2 linked regions of the Xenopus tropicalis genome follow. The protein of the gene in region 2 interacts with the protein of the main gene of each other region in a biochemical or structural test. Links are inferred from orthologs where the notes say so. Each region holds a gene or a part of one and is shown on either strand. Other genes may lie near its edges.

Region 1 (13,289 bases), on a different chromosome or scaffold from region 2:
CTTCCAAGGTGAGATACAGAAGGAACATTTAGTCTGCCCATCTCATTAGTGGATCTGACACAGAGGGATGATGTTGAACATGGTGTGCCACCCTTGGCTGAAGCTATGCAACATGGAGTCTCACTGTGACAAAATGCAAAATATTAGGCATCATGGAAACGTGGTAATTATGTAACTTGCTTTACAACCTTTCAGTCAAAATGCCTCGTAAAGAAAAGAAAATAAGCATATCCTGAAAGCTAAAACAGACAATCACCAAGGGACTTGGAATACTTCACAACACAACTTTGCCTATAGGGGGTTTATTCAGGGAACCATCCTATTGTACATTAGTAAATAAGTCTTGGCTGCAGAGACAGTGGAGTTATTCTGAGGATAGTGAAGCCAGTAATTTACAGCCTGGTTAGTGGGTGCATATCTATCCAGAAAGCTATAATTACCTACAAAGAGGATATTCTGTGACCAGGAAAAATATGAAGCAGCCTGATAAGGGAGGGGGTAGATACAGGACAGTTCTAACCCATGATGGGCTAACTATAGACCATGCAGCTGCTGTAAACCCTTTGAAGAACACTGCAAGATGCACAGGGTGTGACTACCCTGGCTATGCTTTGAACTCAGCACCCTGTGGGGGCTAAGAATATGGAACCTTCCGAGGAGAAATATGGGAAGGATTTTAGGGCACTAGAAATGTAAAAAAGCAGGGGGAACAGGATTAGATATTGCCGTCAGTCCTAAACATATGAATGCACCTAGTTTCACTATTATTGTATGGTGGTACATGAACAGCTATGCACTAGCTGAAGTCAAGTGCAATGTCCCCTACATTATTATTCCTGTGTTTGTCACTGATTGTTTTCTTCTGATTGTTAGTTTAATTTCTGGGAAAGGAATGGCTGCTGAGGAAGTCCCTACCATACGCCATAAAGCAATATTTACCTGTGACTCATCCTTACATAGAAATATACCTGGTTTTTGAACACTGTTATGTGCCCATCTGCCTAAAGTATTTATGGCGTTTTATATGTATGTATAGTTCATATAGGAGCAATGGTGCAGGATTAGTAGCCTGAGTAGGGCTAGACCCAAATTACCCACAATTCAATTATCAACAGCCAACTCCACTGAAGAACTGAAGAACATGGACGTGCCTCAATGTGAACCAAAGTGGAATGCAAGTCCAACCCATTAAAAAAAAAAAAAAACAACATTTGGCTTCATGGTGTATCAAGGGGCCTAACTGCCAGTCTATTCCCCAGGGAAAGACTAGTTTTCACCTAGGCCAAGTGCACAATGAATTGTGTTGGGTTGAAAACCCCCAACATACTGTTCTTTGACTTCAGCTTATTCTTCCGCTTCTTCTTCTTCTTAGCGCCCCCCATTTTCTAAACGCTACTCCTCCTACAGTTTTAGGGGTACAACACCCAAACTCTCCACACTTCTTCACCCTATAGCGGAGCAGGTTGCTTGTGCTTTTTTAAGTGATCCCGCTCCCGTCTTTTTGTGGCACCGCTCCGAACCCCCCATTTTTCCCATTGACTTTGACAGGGAAGATTTTCAAACTGCTGCCACACTTACAGCTTTGAAGCTACACCCCCCCAAACTTGAATAACATAATAATGGTGTCACCCCGAATGAAACAACAACATTTGTTGGATGTCCCCAAAGTGGGAGGGGCCAACAACAGCCAATCAAATTTTACCCATTGACTTTAACGGGGAAATTAAAACTGCTGCCAATCTTACAGCTTTGAGGCTACACTCCCCAAACTTGAATCACATAGTCATGGGGTCAGCCTGAATGAAAATATGATGAACAGCCAATCAGATTTTACCTATTGACTTGGCAGAAATCCAACCTGCTGCCATTCTCACAGTAATAACACAAGGGCCCCAAACTTTGCAGGGTTAGGCACCAGGTAACTGCGGTTCAAGGTTAGGAAAAGTGGGCGGAGCCACCAGTAGCCAATCAGATTTTACCTATTGACTTTTAATGGGGAAATTTAACCTGCTGCCATTCTCACAGTATTAACACCAGGATCCTCAAACTGTTCCAAGTTTAGAAAAGTGGGTGGGACCAACAACAGCCAATCAGATTTCACCTATAGACTTCATATGTTTAAACTGCTGCCATTCTTTAAATATTAATACTAAGATCCCCAAACTTTGCAGACCTAGTCACCAGGTAACTGTGGTTCAGAGTTGGGAAAAGTGGGTGGAGCCACCAGCAGCCAATCAGATTTTAACTATTGGTTTTCAATGGGGAAATTCAACCTGCCATCCTCACAGTATTAACACCAGGGTCACTAGGGGACTGCATTTTTAGGTTTTAAAAAGTGGGTGGAGCCACCAACAGCCAATCAATTTCTACCCATTTTATTGGTTTATATTTAACTGATGCCATTATTTAAGTATTAATACCAGAGTTGTTAAACTTTCCAGAGTTAGTCACTGGGTATTTGCCGCTCAAAGTTAGAAAAAAGTCGGTGGAGACACCAATGGCCAAATAACATTTCACCTATTTACTTTCAATGGTGAAGTATAAAATGCTGTCAGTCTCACAATTTTTATGCCAGGTCTCCAAACTTTGAACAGTTGGTCACTGGGGGGACTGCAGTTCAAAAATAGGAAAAGTGGGTTGGGCCACTAACAGCCAATCAGATTCCATCCATTGAATTTTATTGATTTAAATATAAAATGCTGCCATTCTCACACTATTTATGCCAGGGTGCCCACTGTTTGTCACTGAGTGACTTCGACTCAAGGTTAGAAAAAGTGAGCGCACCCACCAACCACAATTTACCTATTGTTTTTTATTGGTTTAAATTTAAACTACTGCCATTCTTTAACTATTAATCCTAGGGTCTTTAAACTTTGCAGAGTTAGTCACTGGGTAACTGCAGTTCCAAGTGAGAAAAAGTGGGTGGAGCCACCAACCGCCAATTAGATGTCACTCATTGACTTTCAGAGGGGAAATTTAAATTGCTGCCATTCAGACACTATTAAAATCAGGGTCCCCAAACTTTTCACAGTGGTTTTACTATATAACTGTGGTCCAAGGTTAGAAAAAGTGGGTGGAGCCACCGACCGCCAATCAGATGTCACTCGTTGACTTTCAGAGGGGAAATTTAAATTGCTGCCATTCAGACACTATTAAAATCAGGGTCCCCAAACTTTTCACAGTGGTTTTACTATATAACTGTGGTCCAAGGTTAGAAAAAGTGGGTGGAGCCACCGACCGCCAATCAGATGTCACTCATTGACTTTCAGTGGGGAAATTTAAATTGCTGCCATTTAGACACTATTAAAACCAGGGTCCCCAAACTTTGCACAGTGGTTTTCACTATATAACTGTGGTCCAAGGTTAGAAAAAGTGGGCGGAGCCAATAACAGATCAGATTTCATTCAGTGACTTCATGTTTTTCAACCGAACATGAAGTTTGTTCTCAAACTTCCCTTTCTAGTTTTTATAATCTTATTACCATAGATCAGTGCTCAGCATCTGCTTTGCCTGAAAAGGGGTACTTAATAACTTTATTAATTAAATTTATTGTTGTAACTAAGCCCATTTATGATGCCATATATAGTACAACGTTTTAGTGCAGTTATGTGGCACATTGTCCCAGCAGGCAGCGAAGGTTCCTGTACAGTATGTGAGTTCTGTTGTATAGAAAGAGGAGTGTGACTTTTACTGAATAACAGCTTTGCATACATCATGTAATTGTGGGGAGGTTAATATAGAAATATACACACACACATAACATATTTATGTACCTCTTTTTATTTTTCCTCATTAAAACAAAATATTTTAAATATAAAAAAAAACTATAAAATAATACAGTTTAAAAAGGTAAAAAAAAAAACTTCTCCTTTTAAACAGGAATTATTAGCTCCTTCTTTGTTCAGTGGGTACCTGTACGTGGCACTCTGTATTCTGTATTTCATCCAGTTTTGTCCTACAGGTCTGCCCTGTAGCTGAGGCTGCAGCGATAGGTTCCTTTTTCTGATTGATTCCTGTATTCTGGCTTTGTAAATAAATGCCTTTTGTTTCTTTTTAACATATTGATAGCTCTACAAGTTGGGAGAGTTGATATGAACATGGATGAACACCCATGTTTTACCAAAAACAGTTTTTAATATTTTTTTTTGTCAATATACCTTAAGACATGCTCGAGCTTTTATTTATTTAGCAATTATTTATGTTAATAAATATACAATCTATAAAGAGTTGAGATTCTCTAATCTGTGCTCAGCATTAAATGTATTAATCTATACTGTAAGGCATTTTTGTGTTGTGACCTGAAAGGCAGCATCTATTGAATAAGGATCACTCTTTAATTTGTTGAACGATAATGCAATAGGCACCAAAGATACTCTAGAATGGGGTTGTGTTTTTTTCTGTCCCTTGTAAAATGGCCTTCGGTTTATTTATCAAGGGGAGTACTGCTTATTTCTCTGCCGTAACTGTATATAAAACCCCTTTACATGGACTGGATGCTTCAGATGAGTTATTTTACCCTGAACCAAGATTTTGCCTTTGCCAAAACTTGGTATATGTCCATAACCTTTGGCAGGGAAGCACTTTCATAAAAGCTGTAGTGGGGTGCTAAAAAATCGATACAGTAACTGAACAGTGAAGTCCAGAAACACAGATATTGTAACCAAGGGTGTATTGTTGTAGATGAATCCTAAATCCATGTGTGGGTTGCGTTGTTTCTAACTGCTTTCGGCATTTGTGCCTTGCATATGTAAAATCAAAGGGTTCCTTGATCTTCATGACTTGACTTCATGGTATCCATGTTGGCAACTGGCAGCAGTAAGGTGGTTTGTTAGGATTCTGTACCATGTCTTTGCTTTGCTTTCTGCCCCCAAGCTTTTCTCAGCTGCAGTGGCAAGACCTTACCACCATGTTAGAAAGCTGCTCCACCTTGGCATTGCGGCCAACATAATAAATGATTGGTAGTGGCTCCAGGACATCAGGAACACAGCAGGGAGAGATAGATGCACCAGGGTTGTTCTGATTATAAAGTGATAGCACCTGCATAAGATAGACCATCAATACACACATACTATTAGAAATGATTAGCTTGATAAATTGCGATATTGCAAGATATTAATTATCAGATGTTATGATATTTTGGAAGCATAATTTTATAATATATAAATGCAAACCCTTACATTCAAAGCAGTTCCCAATTCTGCCCTACCCTATATCACTTACCCAATATACACAAACCTAAGCTGCTTGAGCTGCACACCTTCTCAGGAATTCCCTTCCACCAGACTTTTTCTCAATCCTGATCCTTCACCATCTAAATGGTCTTTTAAAAAGCATTTCTTTAGAGAGGTTTACCATCATCTTGCAAAGCATACCTTTGTTCTATACCTGCAAATTGCAATACCCAATGCTATTTCGCTCACTTTGCTATACCCCATCTTACCCAACACCTAATGGCTCTCATTCCCCCTTCTCCCTTGAGACTGTAAAAACAGCAGGGCCCTTTTCACCTCTTGTTTTGGTCAGCATTTGTATATAATATGTATGTTTGATGTATACATAGGACGTAGCACATAATCATAGGAAGTTCTCTTCAGAAGAACAGATGGTTTCACTCATAATATTTTAAACGTTTTAAGAGAAGACAGCCCTCATAAAAACATAATTCCAATAAAAAAAGCATAACCCTTAGACCTGAAGCAACTTCCGGAGAATTTTGGAAAGACTTGTATTAGAGACTTCGGTATAGAATAACTGAAGCAGTGGGAGCTAGATTTGTTATTCAGTGAGCATTAGTTAAGGGAAAATAAATATTGGAATTTATCTTGAGAGTGGACAGTGTGAAACTTGTGAGTGAGTAAGAAACTTGTACTAGAAAACATCAGGGAATGCAATTCCATCAAGGACACAGTCCAAGTACAAAGTAAATAAATGTTTGGGTTCAGCTAAGTTCTTAGGCTGCAAAAGCAAGAATAGAAGATGATGAGAAAGGCATGCAGAGCCAGGATTAGTACTACAGGACAAGCTAGAACTGGTATAAGATGCACATTTCGGAACTGCCAAGATAATTTAAATGAAAATAAGTCATTTTTGAATGAAAGAAAGATAGCAAGTGTTAGCAGAATAACAGAAAAAAATTAAAATGAATGCTGAAAAAAAATAAATGCATGGTAGCAGTAAACAGTGGGAAGTGTACATGTCAACACCATAAAGTAGGAAAAGAACTGGTAAAGTACATGGTAGGACTAGTGTAGTAACAGTATATTTTATAGCAGTGAACCCCCACCAGTGGCTTGCGAGCAAAATTTTGCTCACCACCCCCTTTGATGTTGCTCCCAGTGGCTTCAAAACAGGAGCCTGTTTTAAAAATTCTGGTTTGGAGACCCAATGTTATTCCAAGCAGACCCTCCTGCTGGCAAGCAATCCACATGGGGCTACCAAATAGCCAATCACAAGCCTTATTTGGCATCCCCAAAGAACTTTTTCCATAATTGTGTGGCTCACCAACCCTTTTTATATCTGAGTGTGGCTCACGAGTAAATAAGGTTGGGGCTCCCTGTTCTATAGTTAATAGTTGGTATCTAAGGTAAGGAGGGGATAGAATTTGGCGTGGATGTCACATGAATCCTTTCCTAGGTTAGACTAGGTCCATCAGCTTTGCAATTAAAGCCAGTAAATGTACAGTTGGTAGCAAAGACTTGACAGTAATACTAATGCCACATAGATGACTGCTATATTCCCAAAAAATCTATCAGATATGACAAATAATTGTGAGCTGGGAAAAATAATATTATTTGCATTGATCTATAATTTCCAGTGGTATGTGTCCCTGATTTTGTATTTCTGGCAAACTGCTGAAAGGCAAAAGATGTGCACAAGTGCAGCTATCCACATGGCTTTGTATGAGAAAGAATCTATGCCAGAACTGTAGTGGAGTGAGTGGAGTGAGCTGGGAAATAAAGGAAATGGTTTAGAAGAAAGCTGGTGTTTTAAGTAAAATGTGTTGAAAAAAGCCCCTACAAACTGGGTATTGCAGCTATACTGTAACATTGCTACTAACTTCCTGCCAAAAATATGCAGCTGCACCTGTAAAAGGACATACCCTAGTCCAACAGCTGCCCCTATCAGAATTTGTGCAGAGGTCCCCTCTTTATCAACTGCCCCCTCTGCTTTCTTATTTCCAGTCCTTTATTTCTGTACTTTTTCAATGCTTTTATTCTCCTTTCTAGTCTTCTCTTTCCCCTCTGCTTCCCTCACCATCCTCCTTCTTGTTTTGATCTGACCTCACCTCCCATCCAATCTGGCACCCTTCTCCTTCACTTTGCTCTCGCCTTCTATTCCCTTTTTTTCATCCCATGGAAATGGGTGCTCCATTTGAATGCAATACATCCATTATTCCCTATCCCTAGAGAGTGCAACTAGCTGGTTTTCTGGCCTTCTTGCCCACATTTCACTCTTCTTTTCCCTACTTCACTCTACTTTTACTTGCCCTATACTTTAATTAACCCAAACTATTCTCCATATGTTCTCCAATCATCCCCCTTGTTTCCCTTTTGTTTTGCAATAACACAAATTAGTAATAATATAGTGGAGGGTGATAAAACAGCTCAATGTAATTATTAATGTTGGTAGCAATTTTCACCAAATAAGGAGGCTGTGGATTATGTAATGTGCCATAACAGCTACAATATGTTGAGGCACCAGCCTTCTCCTAACAGACCTGAAAAAATGAGCTACTATTAAGGCCTTTTCTCAGACGTTCCCAGCTAGTCAAACATTTAAGAAATTACAGTGTCACCACTTGGTCATGGCAACCCTTGGATCACCATGCAAGTAAGCCAAATGAGTGTCCTATGGTGGCCAGACTTAAAGAGTAAAAATAAAAAACAAAGACTACTGCTGCATGGAACATACAATGTGTTAGCTCTGAGGGAAGCTGTGTTATTAGTGAGTGGAGCTATGCAATACTTGCAGGAATGGGGATGCATGCCTCACATGTTATCATCTCTATCACTATTACACATTGGTAAGGGACCTGTTGCCAGAATGCCCAGGACCTGGGGGTTTTCAGATAAGGGTTTTTTTTGTAATTTGGATATCCATACCTGAAAAGTCTGCTAAAAATAATTTAAACATTAAATAAACCCAATAGGATTGTTTTGCCTTCAATAAGAATTCATGATATCTTAGTTGGGATCAAGTTAAACGTGCTGTTTTATTATTACAGAAAAAAAGGAAATAATATATAGTATATGGGAGATGGCCTTCCTGAAATTCAAAGCTTTCTGGAATAATGGTTTCTTGATAATGGGTCCCATATCTGTACTGTAAAGATGCTCAAGAGCTCCATTTTTTTTTTCAAATAATCACTGCATTCTGAGCACGTCAACACTCACCTTGCTGTACTGAGTATCTGTGCTCCAGATGTAAGGACAATTTCCTAAACAATAATTTGCTTCATATCCCTTAGGCTCATGGATCCACTTCCAGCCTAGATCCTTCCGGAAATTTATGTAAAGCGGTTTCACACAGCAGTTTGGCCCACTATTTCTGCAAAAGCAAGACCAGTGAGTCATTTTCTTACCTGCCCTATAATTTAATTACATGATATCTATGCTTTTCATATAGCATGACCATAAGAAGATGAGAACCACCAGTTTTCTTCCCCCTATGCTGAAGGTTTTGCAGCTATTGAAAAGCAATGTGAACACAGCAATTTATCCACAAAAACACAAATTGGATCTGCTTTACTTACCCAAAGCAATACTCCTGTCCAACCCCACGCTTTCTCCGTGAGTGTGAGACAGTGTCAATTCGCTCTGCTGGCATTGACGTGATCAAGAGGTAGGGTTTCTTGAGGTCATCACCACCCAAATTCATCAAGTCTCCCCGCAAAATAGAAAACCCTTGAAAAAAAGTTGCATGTTAAGAGGTTAGTAATACTGCTTATCAATGTCAGACTTGAGTAACAAGGCATATCCTGGAGGGTACCTGGCTCTTCTTCCCTCTTACATTTGAAACACAACATATTTACAGTTTCTACAGTCATGGCATCAAACCAGGCTGCATGGCCCAGGGGTAATAACAATATATATTAAAGACCAGGACGCCTGTTGTCCTGGTGCCTCATCTATACTGTAATTAGATATTGGGAGGTGGTCAAACCTCTAGTCCAAGCACTGGCCTGTATTTCTGGGTCACTTTGGTTTGTGATTGAGAGTGCCACCTCTTTGTGGGCATGGCCAGCTAAGTGGCCCCACACTTAATTGGCAAAGATTTGCAGTTGACATATATGCAGAAGTGATGAGACTGAGGCACAGATTCATTGGATCTGTGGGAGTTGCAAGAATTAATAGGAGTGGGAGAACAAAAGTGAGATGGGAGAATATGATGTGGGGAATGAAAGGAAATACAATGCAGGGATAGTAAGGAACTAGGTAGGCATGTAAGCTGGGGATTAAGTAGAAAATCATCAGGAAAAGATGCCTATACTTTCCCTGCAAACATATATCAGAAACTAGGTATTGAGATACCCTGCCCATCTATTATTTAATATACTCTGTAAATGGCCACACAGGCTAGTTAAATCACGGGGGAACTAATTTATGAATGCAACCACAAGTATGTCACATGTGAATGACAGTGAGCTTGAAAAAAAGCCTGTTAGACCTGAAACATTGCCCACACTGTCCTGAATTTGGCTGAAATGCAATAAAGGCCTTTTATTATTGAAGATATTCTCCTGACTGGTGCTGTGGATTCTGTCACATGTGAATGACATTTGCACCTATTGGCATGGGGAAGCTTTGAGATATTGCCACTTTCAAGCTGGCTGAAATTCCAGGGTTCCTACTGCTGCCTGCATTGATAGGTGCAACAGACTCACACAGTGAATCAAGCACAAGAACCATTATTACACAATCCCCACTCTGACAAACTTTGCACCTAATTGCATCTAATTTCTCAAAACGAACTACCGCAATTATGCTGGAATCGTTGCAAAAATCTTTGCTTTATGGTAAGAAAAAAATTCCAAAACTACAAATGTGGTTTTTAAATAGCCCTGAAATAAATCTAAATTATGTGTATTTTTCAAAATAAACAATCTAACAAAACAGTTATTAAAAAAATGAATTATCTCTTTTGTACACAAAGATAGAAAAGATATCATAGCTTCTCTTACCTTCTATACTTATAACCTTGCTGTGTGTAGTTATTGAACATTTGCAGGCAGGTTTCAACCTGAATTCTTCATTTTCCTCTGTAGATAGGACAGATGGATTAATTTTCTGGACAACAACTAAAAAGGTTGTATAGTCTAAAATGTACTGCTCACTCTTGGTATCTTATTTTGCAAAATATCTACCTACTCCTCCTTCTTACCTGCATGGTTCAGCCATTCATTCACAGTCTTTGTAACATCAAATGACACCCACTCATCATCTGTTACTGCAGTAAAGAACTTGCTATCCAGGTATCCTGAGTAATCAGTTCCATTACCCTGTGTGAGAATAGGTTAACATTACTATCAACAAGGTTTTATAAAGCGCCAACATATTCTGCAGTTCTGTACAGTAGAAGGATTTATTAATCCAACAGATGACATGTAAATACTTGGGATGAATGATTGGGACCTGGGGTTTTCCATATGAGGGATCTTTCTGTAATTTGGATCTTCATGCCTTAGGTCTACTACAAATCATTTAAACATTAAAGGAGAAGGAAAGGTAAAAACTAAGTAAGCTTTATCAGAAAGGTCTATGTAAATACAGCCATAAGCACTCACAGAAATGCTGCACTGACTTCTCTGTAAAAAGATTAGTTGTGTCCTTTTCCTCTGCCAGAGACACGTAGCTTTCAGCTCTCTCCTCTCTGCTGCTCCCCCCCTTCCTCAAGAATAAGAACTCACTCCCCCCCTTAGGAATGTGGATCTGAGCCAATCAGCAGGAAGCTGACTCATAGGGGGAGATTCACTAAGACCCGAATGCTCGGAGCGTTCATACGAAGGCTCCGAGCATATTGTTGCGTATTGTTTTTTTTGCGCCCGTGCGAAAAATTCGGAAAGGCTCTGCCGCTGTTTACAATGGTCACTATGAAAATTTTGTGACTTTCGGATCGCCAATACGATATTATCGTGAGTAATACGATTTTTTTCGTAAGCATTTTCGAGATATTAGCGATCTTCAGAAATTTTCGTTTCCAATCTGAATTTTTCCCATTCGTATTTGTGGATTAGTAAATCTGCCCCATAGTCTTACTAACTGAGCATGTTCACTTGGTCTGGGTGTCTGTGCAGGAGTGAGGCATTATGGGAACTTTCTTTACACAGCTCAGCGTTTTTTCTTCCTGTCTGGCTTCTGATCATCTGAACGGGAGAAATATGGGGAGACTTAAGGGCACTTTTCAGACAACTGAAGGTATGCCTTCAGCTTGAGATTAACTCTTTATTAGCCTTTCCTTCTCTTTTAAATAAATCCAATAGGGTTGTTTTGCATACAAAACATTCCCTTTTCTCTCTTGTGCCTTGCTCTGTGTGTTTTGTGTTCTGGTTTCTGTTTCCATTGCCTATTTTGCTCTCTATTCCTTAAAGCTACTGTACTCACAGCAATTCCCTTGTGATCTGTCTGTTCCACTTGCCTATTCAAATGAGTAATGGTTGCAGGAATGGGTGAATTATCTGGTTTAACAGGGAAACTCCAGCTATCAAAGTGTAACAGAGACTGAAAATATTTGTGTATGTATGTGAGTTTTGGCTATGCATCAAATAGGCCATCTGAGGTGTCTCCTACTAATAATATTGGCACCAAGTATTCATTTGCACAGACAGTCTGATTGGGCTTCTCTTATGCTCTTAAGCAGCCATTGCTGAACAAAAAACCACTAGAACCAACCTGAATAGCAACAAAATGTTTCACTGAACCTTTGTAATAAAATACGTAAGCCTGTATCATACCGCATAGAGTTCCATCCTTTGTTCCACATTTTTATCTGTCTGCTTCTTTCTGTACATGCGCAGCTCAGCATGGTGCAGGAGAGACTTCATTCCCACATTTTCCCTCACATGTGATGCATTAAATGTAAACAAAAATTCATTTTCTTTCAGTTCTGTGGAATACGAAGGGAAGAAATATGTCAATCCATTTTATCGCTACTGCTCTCCTACTGTACAGACATCACATTTATAATTATTACCAGAGAGTCTCAGGGAAACAGTGACATAACTGTAGGAGTTCCTGCTGTAAGCTTTCAGTATCAGAGATGCAGTACTGGGAAAGATGTTTCTCTCCTAGCAATGCCACTTTATCCATTCCTCTTAGTTCCTCATAGTTCTTTTCCGTTCTCATTCCTAACACTGAATGTACCTGTAGTTTGGAACATCCCAAAACTATAAGTTCCATGCAGGATGCTGCCGCTTTGCAGAGCGATTTGACAAAATTAGATAACTGGGCAGCAAACTGGAAAATGAGGTTCAATGTTGATAAGTGCAAAGTTATGCACTTTGGTAGAAATAATATAAACGCAAACTATCTACTGAATGGTAGTGTGTTGGGGGCATCCTTAATGGAGAAGGATCTAGGGGTTTTTGTTGATAACAAGTTGTCTAATGCCAGGCAGTGTCATTCTGTGGCTACTAAAGCAAATAAAGTGCTGTCTTGTATAAAAAAGGGCATTGACTCAAGGGATGAGAACATAATTTTGCCCCTTTATAGGTCCCTGGTAAGGCCTCACCTTGAGTATGCAGTGCAGTTTTGGGCTCCAGTCCTTAAGAAGGATATTAATGAGCTGGAGAGAGTGCAGAGACGTGCAACTAAACTGGTTAAGGGGATGGAAGATTTAAACTATGAGGTGAGACTGTCGAGGTTGGGGTTGTTCTCTCTGGAAAAGAGGCGCTTGCGAGGGGACATGATTACTCTGTACAAGTACATTAGAGGGGATTATAGGCAGTTGGGGGATGTTCTTTTTTCCCATAAAAACAATCAGCGCACCAGAGGTCACCCCTTTAGATTAGAGGAAAGGAGCTTCCATTTGAAGCAGCGTAGGTGGTTTTTCACGGTGAGGGCAGTGAGGTTATGGAATGCCCTTCCTAGTGATGTGGTAATGGCAGATTCTGTTAATGCCTTTAAGAGGGGCCTGGATGAGTTCTTGATCAATCAGAATATCCAAGGCTATTGTGATACTAATATCTACAGTTAGTACTAGTGGTTGTATATATAGTGTATGTATGTGAATGTATAGATTGGTAGGTGTGGGTTAAGTGTGCTGGGTTTACTTGGATGGGTTGAACTTGATGG
Region 2 (13,289 bases):
CTGTTTATCTTTATAATGACTAAAAGCCATTCTTTCTGTGAAAATAATGTTTTTTTGTTGGAGTGAAATAACTAAGGTTAGGTTAATAAACATATTATAGCATCCAAAGATACTTGTCCAGTTATCTAAATATAAGGAAATGGACAGTTTCACAAGGGTGAAAGGTCTCACATACTTGTCTAGTAAATGAAACAAGAACTGTCTGATTTGTAAATATTTGTGATAGTCAGAATTGCACAGGCTGCTTGGTTTTAATGTTGTCAAGAGATAGTCATTGGTTATTGTGAAATAGTAAAGATATTGAATGTATCTTCCCATGAACATGAAGTGTTTTGTTTACACATTTGAGACAGAGTTAACAGGGACAGAGTTTGAAGTAGTTTCTGCACACTAGTGAACCAGAAGTTTATTTTAGGTTTGAGAGTAGTTAAATAAAGTGGACTAATTTTGTCCTTAGATGTTGGACAAAAAATTGTTTTGGTTGGTATTGAGGGCACATAAAGTCCTCATTCTGTTCATATCCTTGAGTGGGAGGGTTATTAAGACTAAGATGGGTGCGTGATGTGTGCTAGGTAGCTTTTGAATATATATAGCACTGCCAGGCCTCCTACGTTATTCTTTCTGTTTTCCACCTGACATGTGGAAAATGTTTTTTTAAAAGTGTGATAGTTGAAACGTCTGTATGGAACAATATGTTTTTATATTGCTGACAAACTACAGGGTTATCCAGGACCAAAACCCAAAGAACTTCGTTACATACCCCAGATAGCATTCCTGAGGAAGCCCATATGCTCATAAGCTACTCACCATACACCCTCCCTCTGTAAGGACCTCCGCAGTACCTAGTACTCCTAGCACTTTTTGCTTTGGCCCAATCGTTATTAAATAAAGGTTTTTTTACTCAGTTTTGGTGTGTATGTCCGCCAGGTAATTGTTAGAATTTCCATCATTTCTTTAGTTTTGTATGTGGAAATGATAAACCAGTATGTGCTGGACTGCACATTAAAAATCTTGGGGCATTGTTTAAGTTTAATAAAAGGTCTTATGTTTGCCCACATCTAGTGACCCATAGCAACCAATCAAATGTTATTTTTAAACAGCTGACTAGAAATTCTACTCTCCACGATTAAGCTGGTTTGCAGCAATTAACATAATTTACTTGCAGAGATTCTTATGTTAGTGAAGGGGGTGGCATTTTCAGGAGATTTATCACCTGCAATAGCGCATATTTAACTGCAGACAAATTTTGCTGATTGCCATCACTTGTTGTTCACAGATAGCTTTCCGATAGCTTTCCCTTGGAGTCACATCTCCAAGTGGCATGGGCTGGTCACAAAATAAAGTATAGTGTCACTAGGTAGATTACTATTAAAAAAATATAAGTTTACTAAATGGACTGAAAGGAGACAGCTAGTGATGAGCGAATCTGTCCCGTTTCGCTTTGCCTATAAAATTAGATTTTTTTGTTGCCCACGTCTTTGTGGTTGCCCGTGTCTTTTTTGTCGCACTCGTCAATTTGACGCGCAACTAAAAAAAAATTCCATGCAACTAATTTTTCCGCAGCGAATTTTCACAGAAGTTTCGCGAAACAATTCTCCCATGGCGAAATGCAGAAATTTGCTGCAAATCCATGCCTGGCGAAAAAATTCGCTCATCACTAGAGACAGCAGGTAGAGCTGTCTTGTTCTTTGTGAACTGTACCTTGTCCAAGGTGATTGGAAGTTCTTGGTTTTCAAAATGGGTTAGTGTTATGTTCAGTCTTTGTAGAGGCAATAGCATATTGATATGCATCTTTTCAAGCTAAGCAGCACAGGTAGCAGTGCAGTCTTTTTGGTCATTTTGTTAATTTGGCCATACACGTTCCAATTACGATCTTTCCTGCAACCAGTGGTCACAGGAAAGATGGTTCGTACCCTCCACTGACATCCAGGTCTGAATCGTTGGAGATGGTGGTAGAAACAATAGAAATTCTACCTCTATCTGACAATTCAGCCCTAAACACAGCCTTTGCTCGGGCACTTCTAAGCCGCACAATGAAAAACATTTGTCCCACCCGATTAACGACACAACCGATATCCAAGGCTTTTGCAATATCGTTCGTCTCGTAGATCCATCATACACACACTGAATATCATACAAAACCTAAATTTGTACGATAACATCGGTGCCTGGTTGGCACGTGTAGCCTGGCTGGAGTCAAGAAAAATCCTGTGTGCTTGAACACTACTGTGTTACAGTGTATACCAGTTTATGCTACTTGACTGGAATCAAGAAGGGTCAAGTCAACGTGCCCAGCCATATACTATATCTGTATGATAACAGTAAATCTCCCTGGAATTGGTTACCAATATGCAAACTAGGATTTTTTTTCAATATAGAGGTTGATGTACATGTGGTTTTTTACTCACTGGATAAACTTTTCCACATCTCTGTATGTGGAGATGGTGGCCTCACTCTCTTTCTAGTTTTAAGAATTGTGAATGTAGAGATATTAAGATGTTTTTTTTTTTATCATACACAATTAATATGACTATAGTTGTTAATATTTGTATTACAGGATTCTTATGTATACGTTCTTTGCACTGTGGGAGTCCAGTGTCGGACTGGCCAACCAGGATACCAGGAAAACTCCCGGTGGGCCCAGGTGTCAATGGACCCTCCTGCTTCTGACCATTTGGCCTACTTCAGGGTCATTCCCTATTTCTGAATGGAAAGAAAGAGGAGAAATAGATGGAAGAATAATTGCTAGCATGTAAATAAAAGAGACTAGGAGAATAAAGAGGCTGGGTGAGGAAAGGAAGAAAAATAGTTTGGAAGTGGGCCTATAGGTTTTCCGGGGGGCCCCTGGGTTCCCAGTCCGACACTGTGGTAGTCCATTAGTGTACCCTTATGTTTTTCTTGTCTAATGTGATATTATTTTATTTGTTTTCTCTGACCATACAAATGAGAGAGGGGTTTTAGGATTAAGATGCCTGAAGACATTTATAAGAAAGAAAACCTGCCTTTTTGTTCATTGAATGTGATAAAGAGTAACTATGTCCCTGATATTGAGGAAAGTACTTGATGGTGAGTTTGGATATATCACTAATTACAACCAGTTTAATTTAATCCTGAATATACTTTGGTATGACTGCAGCAAACTTTGAAATATATCCTTTTGTGTGATGAAGGATTTACTATGCAATAAGGACTATTAATGGACATGGTGAACCTGATAGTGTTATGTAAAATGACAACAGGCTGGAATGATTTCGTTTTGCAAATATTGATCACTATGATATAAGCCACATGGAAGCAGTAATTGTGAAAAGTTTTGAACCTGTGTATGATGTGTCTCAATGTCGCAAGGACAAACTACAGTATAATATGATTCAGGTGGAGCAAAGAAATACGAACCTGTAAATACATTGTATGCGACTGATAATTGAGGGAGTTTTTGACTTTATATATGGCTTTAACTTTTTAATCTTGATTGTTTGTTGATTGGCCTCCATTGGCTCATTTGTGATCTAAGAGTAGCTCTCCAGGGGTGATCTAAATGTGTGATCTGAGTAATCTGGAGTTTTTTGCTTTAGCTTTTTTTTGCTAAATGTTCCTAATTATACAGACATAGATTCTAATATATGTAGCGTGGTTATACAATATTACTTCTATTGATCTATTGTGCAAAACATAATATGTTGCACACTGCTCCTTGGCAGCATCTCCATTATTACAATGCCTAATACTGTATACACCACTTGACTAGAAATTCCATTTGCTTTCAATGTATCTGGAGCTAAAGTTTCCATTGTTTCTTAATGTATTTAAAGTATTTGGAGTGTTACTACCCCTTGTCTCTCACTGCATAATGTATTTAGTATTTGGAGACATTGTACCATTATATGTATATAGAGAGAGAGAGAGAGTCTGAAGATTAGGGCACATAGGGCTTTTTTTATAAACTGGCAGAGAAACTTCCTATTTATGTGAATTGAATTTGCTCGACATCAAGTACAGTTGGTTCTTGACCAAAAAAAACACACATAACAGCTTTTTAATAATGACCTGTACTGGCAGTATTAGCAATTAGGGCTGTGACACAGAAGATATATTGTCCTCTATTGGCCAGGTAACTAAAATGCCCAAATACCACACCTCATAATGTTAAATGGAAAGCACATAGAGCATAGAGCATCGAAAGGCAGACCTCCACCTCTCAACTATCTTTATGCGTCAGTCACATATATCATATCATCAGAAACTGTGACAGGCAGATAGAGATGTTTTAACCACAACTGGTTAAAATATTGCCTTATGGCAATGGCAGATAGGGAGCTTTGTTGCTCACAGGAAATCACACTCCTCATGGTCAATAAAGCACTCCCTATCTGAGCAGGTAAAACTGACTTCTTGCATAACTGAGTGCAAAATGCTCTCATCCATATGTTTTAGTATTCTGTTGCCTCTGGGGCAAAGCGCCTGATCTGGCATTGCCATTAAAGTTAATGGAAGGCAGTGTGGGCCAGTGTTGGGCCATTTCCCCACTCACTGAAATACAGAACAGGTTCTATACCAGTATACCAGTATATGCAATTAACTCAAAGCAAATCAGTGGTAACAACATAGAAACACGGGAAAGCCATCAGTTCAGACACCCGATTCCTTCAGGAGAGGTGTTATCTTGTTACCTGCTCATTGTTCTGTTTATAGGCTGCTGAGGGGGATTAAAACGACTCCCAATATCCCCACCTACAGGTGGGTGATATTGTACTAATTTGGTCATTTTGGCCATAGGGCCAATGCTTTATTGCTAATGATGCTGTTGCTATATTTGTTTTTTAAATCTGTATATATATTTATACGTTAAATTATTTTTGTAGAATCCAGTGCTTAAATGACTACAGTATGTAAACTCCATTTGCAGCATATATCATCTTCCTTAAGTTTAAGCATCATCTTATATATAGACATTCAAACAATTTAAATATGGTATTCACATTCAAGTTAGTTTTATGATTAAAGGAGACAGCCAACAGAAAACAAATAACAGTTGTTATGTATGTTCTTTGCCAAGTGAAAGTTTAGGTCTAAACCTTACTGAACTGTTGTTGCAGTTGAAGAAAGTTGTTCATGCATCAAAGCCTTCAAATGTCAAAGAGTTGAAATAGTGTAAATGAGTCAACATTCCTTAAAGTCAATGTGTGAGATTACTAACAGTTACAGGAAATGTTTATTTCAATTTATTTCTGCTCAGCTTGGTGCCAATACCAAATGAAGGGTCCACATTGTCCCTTAATAATTTCTGTTGTTGACCAATTAAATGATATCTTTTCACCCATGTCAAAAATCTAGAACTTTCCCAGCAATTAGTTTGGGAGAAAATATTTCTTTCTTTCATAGACAGTAAAAAACTGCCCTATGATCCATTTTTTGTGTAAAACTAAAATTGATCTATTCCCTTCAAAAATAGTAAAAGGTAGCAAAATCTCTTTTCAGTGTATGGGAACATTTAATCTAGTTGTCTAAAATGTATCAGTTCTCCTGACTTATGGCAAAGACACTGAAGCTGGATATAGTACAGAGCCAGCAAAGTATTTACTCCTGGAAAGCTGATCCAATGATGCTGGAAACTGTCCTTGCTATGGGTGCTTATACTTATAGCATTTCATAACTGTTACTTATTAGGTGGCTATTTTTTATGGGCCAGTACCTTCTTTCCATTCAAGCGCTGATGTTAACTATAGAAGCTCAGGGTAGTCATATCCCATGCCACCACAGCACTTTGCTTAGTCTTTTTTGCTGTCCGTGTCCATACTTCAGCACATCATGCCCTACTTCTTACTATTTGCACTGCCTAATTTGCTGTCAGTCAGTAGGTTCTATAATGTTCTATTCTGGGAAACTCAGAAGAATGTTAAGAAGTTCTTATATGAGAATGATAACTGGAAGAATGTTAAATAGAAAACTTTACTATGTCAAATGCACTTTGCTATCAAAATTATCCACTTCTTATTACAGACTTACCTATGTTTTGGTGATCTCTGAGACTTGAAATTGGACAACTCGCTCTATGAAATTTTGGGCCAACATTCCCTATAGAGAAACCATGTTCTTTGCACTCACCCTTCCTATCTCTCTCTGTTTTGATCAATGTTGTATTCTCTTCCCCATTGTATTGGCCATACATGAATATGTGCATATCTACCTAGCTGGTATGTTGCCAAGTGTAAGTGCAATGTTACTAGCAGGGAGGTGGAACTAAGGGCTGGAGTTGTAAAAATTGCACAGAGCTAGTAAAAAGAAAGTGTTTACCTTAGCGTGAGTACTGACTTAAACATCAGCTTTACTTCACCTTTACTTTACCTTTAAGTACTGACTTTGTGTGAAGCAGCATAGCTGGGCATTTGTAATGCTTTAAGGAAGCTTACAATGGACAATCCAATATGTAAAATGATGTAAAGCACACCACTAATGATAGTGAAAAAGATTTTTGACTGCCTTCCGCAGACATAAGTACGTTATTGCACCTGGTCTTAGCCTTAGGGAAGGCAAGGTCTTACACGTCAAAATTTTAGAGCCAAATGCTTATTTGTGCCTGAAGGGATATATATTTTACTTGCTTTTAGTACGTTAGTATTAATATAAAATGCATTTTTGTTTGAATTTAAAATAAATGTACTGAATTTTAATAAGTCTAGGCCAGACCTGAACCTTAATTTGTATGTCTACAAATGTATATGTAATTAACATTTTAATCAAATTCATTGTGATTTCAATAAAAATTAAAACATGTTAAAAACACACTAGTGTTGTGTTTTGGATTGGTCAAGTTTTTTTTTTTTATAAATGTTGGGCCTGAAAGCCTTTGAACATAAATATAGCATTTGCCTGCCATAACCCTTCCATTGTGGTCATCTTTGTAGTTATTTCTAAATGAGGGATGGCGTTACATCTTTAACTACTCTGTGCCTAAATAACAGAATGTGAATCTCCAGTTTTCAGATTATTGTTTCTGTACTAATTGTAGAATTATTTTGATTTTGCACTATAGTAAAGTTTGTGAATCAACAGGCATTTCTAAATAAAATAATTAATTGTAAAATAACTTTGCTGCTGTTTTATTATTCCACTAAATGAACATCTGGATATTAAGGACATTGTGAGAGAAATGCTCATTTTCTTTGCAGTGTTTGAGTTAAATGAGTCAGCTTCCTTTATGCTGCTGAATGAATAATCGTATTACAGTAACAGCAAAAAAAAATGGTCAAAATTTGTAACCCAGAATTTAAATAGTTTACCAGTAAATCAAACGAAAGCTCTGCTGTGTGCACAGTTAAATAAGGAAAGTAAAAAAGAAAAGCCTGATACATTTCTGGCTAAAGAGCAGGAGACATATCATTACCATATGATCTAATGTGGGTGTCAGCCTGGATTGTGTTCATTGAAGGAAACTGCTTTCTATAACAGTGCTTGGGAATAGGAGCAGGAGGGTTTTCCACTAAGTGACAGTGGTTGAGCACTGGTTCTACCCCCTCCTTCTTTGCACACCTGTAAACTCCTTTTGTCTGGACTGAATATTTAAATTACATCTCTGCTTCTAGAGTTCTTCTTGGAAATCCCAGGATAACAAGGTATGAAATGTATTAAATATGCAGCTAAGTTAGAACTAACTCAGCATTCATGAGACATAGGGAACAGCACGTGCATTTTGTTGAAAGTCCAGGTAATAAAATACCCTTTGTCTAATGACATAATTATTTATGTAGCTTTTATTTTTAGAAGCCTGCAAATGTTAACTGTTCTGTCCTATTTGTACTCTGTTTTTGCTGTTCTGTTGTTGAAATTAATATAATGCTTCTTGTAAGAAAGAACTTTCTAGAAAATTAATATAATGCTTCTTGTAAGAAAGAACTTTCTAGAAAATTCTGGTAAGTACAATTGTTTCAGATTTCTTTTGTCTGACACAGAACAATGAAAAGATGTAAAACTTTCTCATCTGTTCTGTTGTCTAAGCCACTTATCCTCCTGGTTTTGCCGTGTATATTATATACAAATACAGGTTTTTTTTTGTATCTGTGACAGCTGGAGATCTTTATATACTGCAATATGATTAAAAAGTGACTATATTTCATTATCCACATGCTACATAGCAAACTTAGCCACAAAACATCCAATTGAGTCATTTTGCTTGGCAGTTGTTATAAAGCAAATAATGGAAATACTGTAATTTTTCGGCAGAAACATGTACCTAGGGCTGAAAGGAAAAAATGAGAGTACAGCATGTTGATGTTTCCAGTAGTTCTGCATCTGATTGGATTTGCAGTCTGCTTTAAATTTAATAAATGCAATTTCAATATGTTCTTTCTGCAGTTGTCTTAGTTATATGTACTATATACCTATAAAGAACAAATACACAATGAAAACAAAAGCCTCCCACCTGATTAATACACACATTATTATTTTTTCATTTATATCATAGCTGACATTAAACTTAAAAGCAATGCAGCAGTCAGTGTTGTAAATAGAAAATGTTTAACTTCAGATTGTACGTAAGCATGGCGAAGCATGAAAACCCTGAGATGGATGAAACAAACATAAAACAGGAATCATATATCAGTGTCTAGAGCTGCATTCCACATATCCACAGTTATTGTATTACAGTACCTATGCACGTGGAGGGGGCGGGGTCAGCTTTTAAGCCTTTTATATAGTATTGTGGCTGCTGGCAAACTCCTATATCCTGCATACATTTTCATACAATTTGCCTGAAATAATTAGAAAGAAAATAACACTTTTATAAGCCAACACTGTATTATGAGAAGTGTAATACTGTATATAGATGCAAATAAAACAGACAGAATGTTTATATAGTATCATGTAGATCCAAGCATTTTGAACAATAAAGAAATAAAAATTATTTATATAGGAAGATTTTTTTTTAAGCAATGTTTTAAAGATATGGCAAGCCAGAGCTAATAACAATATATTTTACTTGTCATTATAAAGGAAATGTTGGGGAGTCCATTGTATTATTATAGGCAAAGGAAAAATACACATTTATACCATGTATTTATTTATCCCATCCCATTATATGGGACATTATTCATATAGGTAGGAGGAGCTAGTTTACAACCACAACTACATACATTTACATGTGCCACAGAAATGGAAGCTGTCATATTTGCTTTCTTCACCTGAGGTATTTCTGCAGATTTTCCCTAGTAAAAAGAACAATCTAAGAATATCTGTATGCTGTAGATATTGCTCTTCTTTAGTATAGACACCCAGTCTATCTCTGCTAGACAACATGGCAATTTGCTTTCATGGGCAAAATCCATGCAGATATGCAAAAAAAAATGTTTGTGCACATATTAAATAAAAACACTTATGCTGGCACTGATAGTTTAAGGTAATGTTAAAGGGGAACTAAAGCTTAACAAAGAAGTAAGCAAGAAATGCTGCACATTATGTTATGACATTCTATACCAATCCAATACCACACCAGGCCTTTAGCAGGGAAGATTTGTGCCTCCAAAGATGACACAGTAGCTCCCCATCTTTTTTTCTGCTGATTCCCTGCCCAAGCTCTGTGCTGTTGTCACTTACTGAGTTCAGGGACCGACTCAAAATATACTGTATATACTGAATATAAATGTCACAATACAAGGCTAACTAGTAATTAATTCAGATTCTTATTACATGGCAACTCAGAAACCAGTGCAATTTGCAACAGAATTCAATTATCAGTTCTGTTGAATGTTTTTTAAACCTCATTTTTTCCTTGATGATTTGTGACAGCCCCTAAGCTTAACTTCTCAACAGCTGCCCAGAGTCCACTGAGCATGTGTGTCACTGAGACTTCTAGCAAAATCCAAGATGGTGACCTCCTGTGCACAATGTTTAAGGCCTGAATCATTATCTCTATAAAGCTTCTGAAACTTTAGGCTGGTGCAGTAGGTTTTGTATATAAAATGTTAAATTTCTACCCATATTTGTTTTTAGACCTTAGTTCTAGTTTTAATGGAAGAACCCTGACTATAAGAGCAGGTTTTCTTTTACTTGCACTTTATAACTAAGAAAGGTTTGACTGCTAAAAAAAACAGTCCTGGAGGACCGAAATGTTGACTGTAACAATAAAACATGTTTTTTAAGACCCTTAAGTGCTTATATAGATATATATATATACATATATATTGTTTATATATTTTTTATATATATATTGTTTATACCTTTATACCTTTTTACCTTTTTTTTTATTCAAAGTGGCAGACCTTCATCTGTTTCCATGAATAAACAAGATATGTTAAGTGCATTGCTGTCCGATATATTTAACGTAGCAACCAGTTTTGCAATACTTCATATTAAAAAAGTATGACAATGTTAAATAATAGAAACAAATTATGCAAAGAAGTCTATGGCACATTTAGGAGCTAGGGGGCCATACGAATCCTTTGCAAGGCCATATCCAACCAACATACTTCAAGTGGGATATCACTTTCTAAAAGGAGAGACAGTAACAGACCAATGTTTTCCTTACAACACTCAATGTCGCAATGATGATGGGTTGCTATGAATCACTAGGGAAAGGAACTGATGGTCCATATCACCTCACATATAAGCTCCTTCCTGTTTACAGAGAAATGTAATTTGTAGCTTACATGATGACTTCCTGGTGACCTCTGCAGGCTCTGTTTAACAGATTCTTAAGCAAAATTCCAAGCTGTAAAAGAGGAAGAAAATGGTTTATATATATTAGGGCCGTGACAGAGGGCAGTCCCCACACTTCCCAAAATGCAACACCCATACGCCAAAGACTCCGGTCTCCAATACCTGGTAAAAACAGCAGTAAGGTAGGGAGCCATGATGCTGGACACTCATGTCTTGTCTATGGTTCCCTATTAATTAGGAGTAATCACAGTTGAATCAAATCTGGTCCTGACTTCAGTTGTTCATGCTTTTGGTGGTTGATCGCTAGCAGAAAGACAGGGATAGGAAGTAAAGTTGCTCAACGGCTGCCAACCCCAGCGGCACTACTCTTCTATACTGGGGAGTTTGGGTGATGTGTTTCAGGAGGGGGTTCTCTACAGGGCCCTTAGATGTATTCATTTGTTTTTCTTGCCCTTTATCAGTTATTTATCAATTATGTATACGCACAAAGTATTAAATGGACACTAGATTAGACCTTTTTTGTTTCATCCTTCAACCTTGTTTCATGTAAAATATTATTGTACAGGATATGAGGAATAGTTTCTGATGCTGTATTATGAAAGGTCATTTACAATCACAATTTGCCATGTTTTTGTTCCCCCACAAAGTAAGTCAAGTGCTTCTCTAGATACATTTGTATGTGATTCAGAACAGGGTGAGGAGCAGATACACTGGTGATGAATACTACTACTGTAGAAATGCAAGAGGCGTGTTTGGACATTTAAAGCTTACATTGTGTTGTTTGGCCTTGCCCCCCCCCACCCCATGACATCAGACAGCTGCCATTTTCTAATTGGGCAATCCCTTATACTGGATTTTTCAGAGTGTTAGGAAGGCTCTGGGTGGAAACTCTTAATATACAACAATGGACCAAACAGGACAAAACAAGGCAGAAAATAATCTGTAAAGAGTTAATTGTATGTGTAAACTGTTAAGACTTGTCTTTGTTTCCCCAACCCTGTAAAGGTGTGAGAGATACAATGGTGCTTTATAGACAATAATAATACCGACTCTACCTACCTAAAGTTAGTCCTATAAAAAAGTCTTGATTCACAAGCCCTTAGAACATTAACAGTGTGTTTAGTGCCTCCGACTCTTCTTCATACACGTTTTAAGGAGTCCACCAGTAAATATTCAATAATCAGGTATTCACTGAAATACATTAAACTCATAATTTTATACAGTCTTATTTATGAAATCAATAATATCTTCACAAACACATTAAGCTATATGTCCCTTTAATCTACAATCCATTAAACAATCAGCACAGCTAGAGTTTTGACAATATATTTAAAAATATATACAATAATAATTTGTAATTACATTTTAGTATTTTATAAAATTACACATTCTAAGCAACTTTTAAACTGGTTTAACATGGGTTTTGAATGACCAGCCATTCTTTTCTTCAACTTTCTGGTCTGCAGCTAAAGAATGAAATATGGATATCAAGTTTACTGACACTAGCAAACAAAAAAAAGGCTAATTTATAATTTTTTTTCTTTTAATGCAGGCCCTCTACTGTTCATCCATTGTAATTGCCGCCTGGTTGCTAGGGAACTAAGCCCTAACAAACAGATAGCAGTTAATATGTCCTGTCTGACAGCTCCACAAACACACTGAATAATCCAAAAATTAGAAAAAATAAAAAATGATGACCAAAATTTATCTTAGAATAAAACCGTCTACATCACACATTAATTAATTTTAAATGTAGGTGAACTGTTTTAAGGTATAGTTAAAGAGCCTATCAGTGAAAAACGATCAACATTACCAACAGAAAACTTTTAATGTACATTATTACTTTGAAGAGTTGTTTTTAAGTGTCAGTATCACTTTAAGGCAGTTTGGTTTGAAGATTGCTGTGGCTTTCAATTCATGCCAACATTTACTCCAGTCTGTTATCTATAGGCTGCCTTTTCTGACTTGATGGTGCACTGGCACTAAAATATGCTATCAGTGTATGAAAGGTTTGTTACCTCTAATGGTAAGGTTAGATAAATTACTTTCCCATGCCAATGCAGTGTCTGGGGGAAAGCCTGAACATAACTCTCTGCTTAGCTGATCATAGACTGGACACAAAGCTAGTGAAGATGTAATTTAGCAATCATTATGGATCTGTGTCTATGAAGATCTCATTCATCCAGGTCATGATATATAGTATCTAGTAGAATTAAGTCTAAAACAACTGGACCATTCTGAGTTTTTCTTGAAAATGTTTCACCACTTATCTGAGTGGCTTCAAAATGACTGGTAGGGAATTTAAACCCCTGAGGGTGGTACAGTCACAGGCAATCACCATTGTGATTGGATGTATTTTGATGCATGCTTTTACTATCAGTTGAGCCAAGTCTCCAACATACTATTCCCCAAACTACAAGTGAACAACTGGTGGACGTTGTTGGTTCTGCATCCCTTTTTTATTGAGTTTTCGAGCTATAAATTGTGTGCTTCCTTGACATATTTTTCTACTCTGTCACACTGTTTCCTGGTTGTACTTTACAAACTGACAGCTCATGGGGAAATTTACCTTATAAACTAGGAGAAATCTGCCAGTGAATCACAACATGAGTGTATTAGTTAGAGACGTAAAAATGTTA

The links.
Region 1: the proteins of dcn (region 2) and tgfb1 form a complex in vitro, tested with the Homo sapiens proteins (3 studies listed by BioGRID). The link is inferred for Xenopus tropicalis from reciprocal best matches to the Homo sapiens genes DCN and TGFB1.

What each region holds. Positions count from the first base shown.
Region 1 is NC_030684.2:79,285,560-79,298,848, forward strand, and holds the end of tgfb1 (transforming growth factor beta-1 proprotein), read right to left. Parts: intron 12,103-13,289; coding exon 11,951-12,102; intron 10,499-11,950; coding exon 10,381-10,498; intron 10,259-10,380; coding exon 10,181-10,258; intron 8,904-10,180; coding exon 8,753-8,903; intron 8,548-8,752; coding exon 8,394-8,547; intron 5,038-8,393; coding exon 4,879-5,037; 3' UTR 3,763-4,878; downstream 1-3,762. UniProt on the Homo sapiens protein: Transforming growth factor beta-1 proprotein: Precursor of the Latency-associated peptide (LAP) and Transforming growth factor beta-1 (TGF-beta-1) chains, which constitute the regulatory and active subunit of TGF-beta-1, respectively.
Region 2 is NC_030679.2:55,505,271-55,518,559, reverse strand, and holds the start of dcn (decorin precursor), read left to right. Parts: upstream 1-7,461; 5' UTR 7,462-7,613; intron 7,614-7,620; exon of another isoform or gene 7,621-7,705; intron 7,706-13,289. UniProt on the Homo sapiens protein: May affect the rate of fibrils formation.